Linked DNA regions of Rattus norvegicus. The main gene of each other region encodes a partner of the protein of the gene in region 2 in a complex. Links are inferred from orthologs where the notes say so. Each region holds a gene or a part of one and is shown on either strand. Other genes may lie near its edges.

The links. Proteins that work in one complex are often made in the same cells at the same time.
Region 1: Med1 (region 2) and Med4 share a complex: the UniProt entries of both Homo sapiens proteins name them as parts of the mediator complex. The link is inferred for Rattus norvegicus from reciprocal best matches to the Homo sapiens genes MED1 and MED4.

What each region holds. Positions count from the first base shown.
Region 1 is NC_086033.1:55,112,456-55,116,104, reverse strand, and holds part of Med4 (mediator of RNA polymerase II transcription subunit 4), read right to left. Parts: intron 2,709-3,649; coding exon 2,622-2,708; intron 1,112-2,621; coding exon 980-1,111; intron 422-979; coding exon 249-421; 3' UTR 1-248. UniProt on the Homo sapiens protein: Component of the Mediator complex, a coactivator involved in the regulated transcription of nearly all RNA polymerase II-dependent genes.
Region 2 is NC_086028.1:83,682,703-83,686,451, forward strand, and holds the start of Med1 (mediator of RNA polymerase II transcription subunit 1), read right to left. Parts: upstream 2,844-3,749; 5' UTR 2,644-2,843; coding exon 2,619-2,643; intron 1,789-2,618; exon of another isoform or gene 1,714-1,788; intron 1-1,713. UniProt on the Homo sapiens protein: Component of the Mediator complex, a coactivator involved in the regulated transcription of nearly all RNA polymerase II-dependent genes.

The DNA.
Region 1 (3,649 bases), on a different chromosome or scaffold from region 2:
TGCCCTTGGTAAGTACTCTCCATGAGTTGTGCAGTTCTCCTTCAGTCTCATCCCATAGCTGCTATGTACAAACCAAGCACAACAGTAATTGTGACAAACCCTCAAACACGTGTGTAACAGATGAGAACCAGCAGTTCTGGCTACAGGAAGAAAGACCACTGACTTTCCTGGGCTCCTTAGAGGTCTGTGCTTTCCATTTCCCACTTGACAGAACTCTGTGGCAGTGGAGTCTGCATGCCACCCCTTTCTCAGTCAGAGTCACTGCTGCTGCTTGAGGAATCTGTTGACATAACCTCAACGTCATCTTCATTTTCTTTGTTGTGCCCGGGAGGCTCCAACAGAAAGTCAGTGCTATGATTTGGCGGCAGCATGTTCACAGACATGTCATTTGACTGCCATGGGTACTGTGGAGCAAGGACATCTGAGGAGAAGAAGCATAAGGGATTGGTTCTACTTGTGATCCATCTACTCGATCCCCGCCCTCTATGCAAGAATCTTAATCTTATCTACCTACCCACTTACCTTACAGTACCAAGATCTAACAAGAAGGATTCGCAATACTAAACACAAATGAGCAGATTCCCAAACCCACATGTTAACACAGAAGTGATAGCTTCAGAAAGCACAGTCCCCCACTTATGTCCTCTCCTTAGAAAGATTCTCTCACATTAAACATGGCACCTACAAAATGAGCTTATTCTATTTGTGAGCATGCCTCAGAACTGCAAAAATGCTCTTCAGAGTGGTCACGATAAGGGAAGGCCAGGCCTGGGGAGGGTGATAGGAGATAGATGCACGTGAGGGACAGAGTGGCTTAGGTCAGTGACCTATGCACCACTGCTGGGTCTTTGGATGAAGCACAGAACAATAAACTGGTAGGGAATCTATGTAACAATATTGGTGCCCAATGCTAGACACTGCCTCACGGCCACCTCTGAATAACCCTGTCGCTTGAAAACGCCTATCCAGTTAGCATTACCTGGCAGTCTACCTGCTGCAAGGGCATCTCCCGGGAGGTGACCATTCACACCACTGGTAGAAGGATTGTTCATCTGACCCAGCAATCCACTTCTCATCTCTAAATCAGTTGGGTATGGCCGTCGAGGGTCTCCTAAAACAATAAAGACAGCTTTTAACTCAGGTTTAAAATCATGTATATATTCTTGAAGAATTAGCTGTCCTTGTTCACACTAAAGGACCGGAGCGCTTGTAAGACAGGTCTCAGCAGGTAGTCATGCTAGCCTCAAGGCTGCAGGCCTGCCCCGGCCTCTTCACAGCTGCCTACGCTATGTGCTACCACACCTTGCCTGAGGTTACCATTACTATTCTCAAGCTGGGTACGGCGGCACACAACTTTAGTCCCAGGTCTCAGGAGGCAGAGCGAGGCAGGACTCTGACTTGACCTGGTCTACAAAGTGAGTTCCAGGACGGGGAGGGCTACACAGAGAAACTGTCTCTCAATGAATAAAAGAAAGGGGGCTGGAGGAGAAAGAGACTATATTATATTAATTTTTTAAAATCATTTATTTTTCTTTTATGTGCATTGGTGTTTTGCCTCATGCATGTCTGTGTGAGGGTGTCAGAAGTCCGGGGGAACTGGAGTTACAGACAAGTGAACTGCCATGTGTGAACTTGGGATTGAACCAGGTTCTCTGCAAGAGCAGCTAGTGCTCTTTATGACTGAGCCATCTCTCTAGCTCCCAATATTAATTTTCAAAATGCACACATTTTTGTTTCTTCTCTGAATCCTCCCAGGAATATACATTCTATGTTTTGTAAAAAACATGGGGGTGGTAAAAAAAGTAGGGGTGGTGGGCACATCGCCTATAATCACACCCGTAGCCCAGCATTTGGAAGTAGAAATAGGACTGCACAGAGGCAACTCAAGGTGGAGGTGGGACAGCTCAAGGTCACCTTCAAATACATAAGATAGAACCAGACTAGGAGACATAAACCTGTCACAAAGAAACATACACAGACTAGTTTCTACACCTCTCCAGTTTTATCACAAGAACCTACTGTCATTCCCATCAAAGAGGGACACTGAATAGCAGTTTGGGATGGCACCCACACCCAAATTTGGTAATATTTCTCACCAGGAATTACCCATCCTCAGACTGCAGCCACCGTCATTGTGTTCAGCAACAACAAACACCGGTCAGGAGTGAGCAGAGCCCAGTTGGCTCTCTCCATCCTCCACGGAGGCCGCTGCTCCAGCTCTGGTTTCCCATCTCCTACTTGATCTGCAGTGCTGGGACTGCACTGTATTATCTTTGCTGTCCCTAATGCTCCCGCTCTTCCCGGCTGGTGAACTGCGCTGGGTGTTTGTTCTGTGACTGCCTCTCAGGCTGAGGCTTTGCAGGAATATAATGGCACTGAAGGACTGGCTCTGGCCAGCCTGGGTGTTACAAGTATATGAACCTATTGCTTTGAAAGTGTCCCAGATTGACCTATTAGCACTAAAAGTAAAATGGAAAAAACACTTCCCATCACTGCTTGGTAAAAACAATGTAACAGGAATTAGTTACAGTATCCTTCTGTGTTCTACACAGGCACTTAGAATGCTACAGATGCACCTCAGGACGCTTAACCTGCATTCATCTGAAAAGAAGCACTGTTACCTGGAACCCAAGTCAGTGGAGCACATACAGCATTGCTGGCACTGATCCTGTGTGCGTACTTAATGATTTCTTCAGAGGAGATAGCGCCTGAGTTGAGAAAACAGAACAGGACAGACCATTAAACACAAGCTTAGAAGAGCACACGTCACAGTCACACACCACACTTAACTATCAGGCTCATCTCAGCCATCTATCCTCCCAAACACCTTCATGTACACCAAAACTGTTACACATATATGTCTAACTAAAGAACCAAGGCACCCACTCGGCGAGGTCAGCTACCATAAATCTAAGGCCAGCATGATAATGCTCAGTAATCTCCATTACTGGCCGACGGCAAATGCAGAGCTCTTCTGAATGTCACAGTGAGGAACAGTAAACCAAGGGGAGAGCTTTTCGTTCCAGCAACATCCAAGCGGCTAACCAAACAGTCCACATCCTCTGTGACCACAAAGGAAGAGGCTCTACATGGACTGTGCACCAAACAGAAACAGCAGTTACCTCTGAGGAATGGGAAGATTTGTACTCTATGAACTCTAGACCTGTTTCAAAAAGCACTATGGATTCCTACCCAGTCCTGATTGATGGACTCAGCCACCTCTCCTACAGGCTTGCCTCTGCTACAGAAGCCCACCCGTCTCTCTGAGAATATTAGCCGTTTTCTTGGGTATAACAATGAGAAACAGATTCCATACCGGCAAGCAGAACAAGTCAGATAGAGAAATGGTTAACTGTAACCCAAATCCACAGAGCATTAAAGCGACAGCAGAGACTTCACTCTCGGTCTCCTGACTAGAAAGTGTAAGGCCTAAAGGCCGAGCGGCAGGCACGTGTACAGCTGATGCTGACTCCAGTGTTCCCTTCTCAGGTAGTTGTGTGGATTCCGTCATTATCTCTGCCTACAAGATCCAAGCTCACTCCTGCTCCTCTGTCTTTCCAGTCTGTAAACCACTGTCGTCACTACACATGTGAATGAAAAGCACGAATCCCTTCTATTATTCTATACTGAACTACAGGAGGGCTGCGAG
Region 2 (3,749 bases):
TAAGTATGGCATCAAAGTACTGTTTGACAATGCCTAACGCATCCTTTAAGAGCACTAGCTACTCTTTCAGAGGATCTGGGTTCAAGTCCCATCACCCACATGGCAGCTCACGGCCACATGTAAATCCAGTCCCAGGGAATCTGCTGTCCTCTTCTGGACTCTGAGGGCACCAGGTATATACTTGGTACACAGAAATACAGGAAGACAAAACCACTACACACATGAAACCCATATTCTTTAAAGAAAAAAAGATTTATGTTGTGTGTGTTTGGTTTTTTGTTTGTTTTTTGACTCATGCATGTATAACACGTCTGTGCAGGGAGGCTAGAAGGCACCAAGACTCCTGAAACTAAAGCTACAAATGGTTGTGAGCTGCCCTGTGGGCATGTGCTTCCTGGGAGCCAAATCTAAACCCATGCCAAAAACTCCCCAGCTCTGTCTCCAGCCCCTCCCTGCTTTTCCTTCATTTCAGACATTCTCTCGCCACCCCGCTGACCCCCAAGTCCATCTAGCTGAGCATGACCTTGGAGGCTGACAAGGTGGCTCCCTGAGTAGAGGCATCCCATGCCAAACATGAGAGCCTGGGTTCACGCCCCAGAGCCCACAGTAGCTACAGTAGACCACCTCCAAATACAGAAATATAAGGGGTGGCCTCCACATGCTTGTCCCTCTACCCGGGCTTGCATTACAGCCCAGACTCTCCTCAGTCATCTCTTGTCTCCTTTTCTTTAGCCTCCTATGGCTGTATGCCACTATAAACAGACGCCTTTTTTTTTTAAGACTTTTTATTATGTATACAGCATTCTACCTACATGTATGCCTGCAGGCCAGAAGAGGGCACTAGATATCATTATAAATGGTTGTGAGCCACCATGTGGTTGCTGGGATTTGAACTCAGGACCTCTGGAAGAACAGACAGTGTTCTTAACCACTGAGCCATCTCTCCAGCCCCCAGACGCCTTCTTTTTTATTTATTTTGGGGGGTTGGGGTTAAGACAGAGCTTCTCTGACTGTCCTGTCTCTTTGTAGACCTGCCTGGCTTCAAACTGAGGGATCCCCCTGCCTCTGCCTACTAAGTACTAGGATTAAAGGCATGAATCATCACCACTTGGGGACCAAATTCAGGCCTGTTTTCATGTATGCACAGGAAGCATTTTACCAACTGACTGGCAGCCTTTTTTTTTTTTTTTTTTTCTGGACAAGGTCTTACTTAGCCTAAATGAGCCTGAACTTGCTGAGAAGGAAAGGGCAGTCGGGAAGTCCTGCCCCTCCTGCCTCTACCTTCTCAGTGGTGAGACTACAGGTATGCAATGCCCAGCTTCTGTTCAAACTATCCACTGAAGCAAACAAAAAACTTGTAATTGCATACATAGGGATGCAATACCTTGAAGGATATATTTTGAGCACAATTTGAGCTAGGCATTTCTATAATTAGTTTTTAGTATGAAAACAATGACATCATTCATTTTTGTTGCTTTCTCCTTTTTTCCTTTTCTTTTGGTGCTGGGGATTGAACCTGTGGGCAAACGACCTTGCTCTAATATCTGCAGCCTCTAAATTATTTTTAAATTAACAAACAAAGCAATGGGTATCATTTTGGCATTCTTATAGATGTAAGATGTTACACTGGGTCTGAGTCTTCTTCCTCTGACAGCCACCCCTGCCCCAACCTCAAAACAGTCAAGGCTTCCATTTAGTTCAAACTCCATTTACCTTTCTATCCTGAAGATCTCCTTCTTTCTCACATGGTCCCATATTTTGACAACCAGTACACCACGCCAACACATACTTAAATTGAGATTCCGCATAAGAGAAAATGTGGTATTAGCTAAATACAGCTTATTTTGAGTATCGTCCACTTTCCTAAAAATGTCGAGACTTCATTTTGGATAAGCCAGTCTATCTGAGTTAAGGTTAGGAGGGGGATAGTTAAACCAAGATTTAAACTCTTAGCTGGCTATGATGGTATGTTAAGCTGGCACTTGGGAGGCTGATGCAGGAAGACCTTGTCTTGAAAGAAAACAAAAAAGACTCAATCCCTTCCCTTTTCTTCCTTCAACTGGGAAAGTGGTTTGGGTTTTGTTCCTGCTAGTTCATAGTTCTGAATACATTTCCCCCGAGCTTTAAAGCCATTATTCAGGAACAATTGAAAGAGTAGTTTTTAAAAACACAGCACAGTATTTGAACACTATGACATTCCAAGAAACTACTAGCTTTTATTATAATAAAGACCGCACCATGTCACTCACACCAAAACATCCTCCATCACTTTGACACATTGTTCTAGTGTCATCTTCAGCGATCTCTCCTGGAACAAAGCATCAAGTTTCAGTTTCACTCTCCTGGTAACCCACCAGGCTAAGCTGAAAGTAACCTGAAGCTCATCTACTTGTCCCTAGTCTTGCAGAAAATCTTTCACAAGGGGAGGCGAGGCGGAGCGGAGCCTCAGTGTAGGAGCTCCAACATCCGTAAAGCTCGGTCAGGATCCACCTGGATCCAGTTCCGTGCACAGTGGCCCTGGGGGGACGGGGGGGGCGTGGGTCCCCACCTCCGCTCACAGATTGGCTCCCCACAGTTGTGTCCCGCCCCTTCTTCCCCCCCACCCCCTAGTCACTCACCCTCGGTTTCCCCCTGAGCCTTCATCCTGACAGCGGTGAGGTCTTGGGTCCGCCACAAGCCAGGGAGCCTTTCCCCACCACTAAGAGGGGAACCAAGTTAGCCTGGACTCCGGGGAAGCAGCGCACCAGCGGCCCCCACTCTTCCGGGGAAGGTTCAGTCTGAAGTCCCCGGCGGCAAGAAGAGAAGGGTGCTCGCGGCCGCCGCCATCTTCCCCAACGGAACTTCCCAAAGATCGCGAGATTAATCGTGTTCCTGCAGGCAGAGGAAGAAGGAACAGCACCAAAATCTCGCGGAAATTGGCTGATTCGCCCTTCCCGCGGGATTTCCAACAGGACTGTCTCCGATTGGCTCAGTCTTCACACCTTTCCGTGGAAAGAGTTGACATCTCTTAGAAACTTTGCATCTTGTCAGATACACGTTTGTAAATTAGAAGCGTTAGCTCTTTGGCGCAGCGTTGGTGGCGCAAGCCTTTTATCTCAGTAGGCAGTGGATCTCTGAGTTCGAGGCCAGCCTGATCTACAGAGTGAGCTCCAGGACAGCCACTGCTACAAAGAGAAACTCTGTATCAAAAACAAACAGGGGTTGGGAATTTAGCTCAGTGGTAGAGCACTTGCCTAGCAAGCGCAAGGCCCTGGGTTCGGTCCCCAGCTCCGGAAAAAAAAAAGAAAAAAAATTTAAAAAAAAAAAAACCAACAAACAAACAAAACACAAAGTACAACAGAAAAAGTTAGCTCTTTGAACGCCTGGAGAAGTAGCACATTCCTATAATCCCAAAAAGGAAGGAGGATCGCAAATTCATAGCCACTTCAAGCTCCATAGTGAAAACCAGTCGTTACGAAATAATCTCTCTACTGAAAGATTTCCAATGAATTTTAGTATCCGTAATGCCAAAGGCAGTCAGGTTTGCCTGGCTGTGGTGCGTGCCTTTATTCCCAGCGCTCCGAAGGCAGAGGCAGGTGGCTGTCTGTGAGTATGAGGCCAACCTGGTCTACAGAGTTTTTGGACAGCCAGGACTGCACAGAGAAACCCTGCCTCGGGGCTAAAAGTAAGATTTGTGATATGACAAGACGTGCAACTCACTAGTAGCACACATGCTTCATGTGCCTGAAGTCCTGGGTTTAATTCCTAGA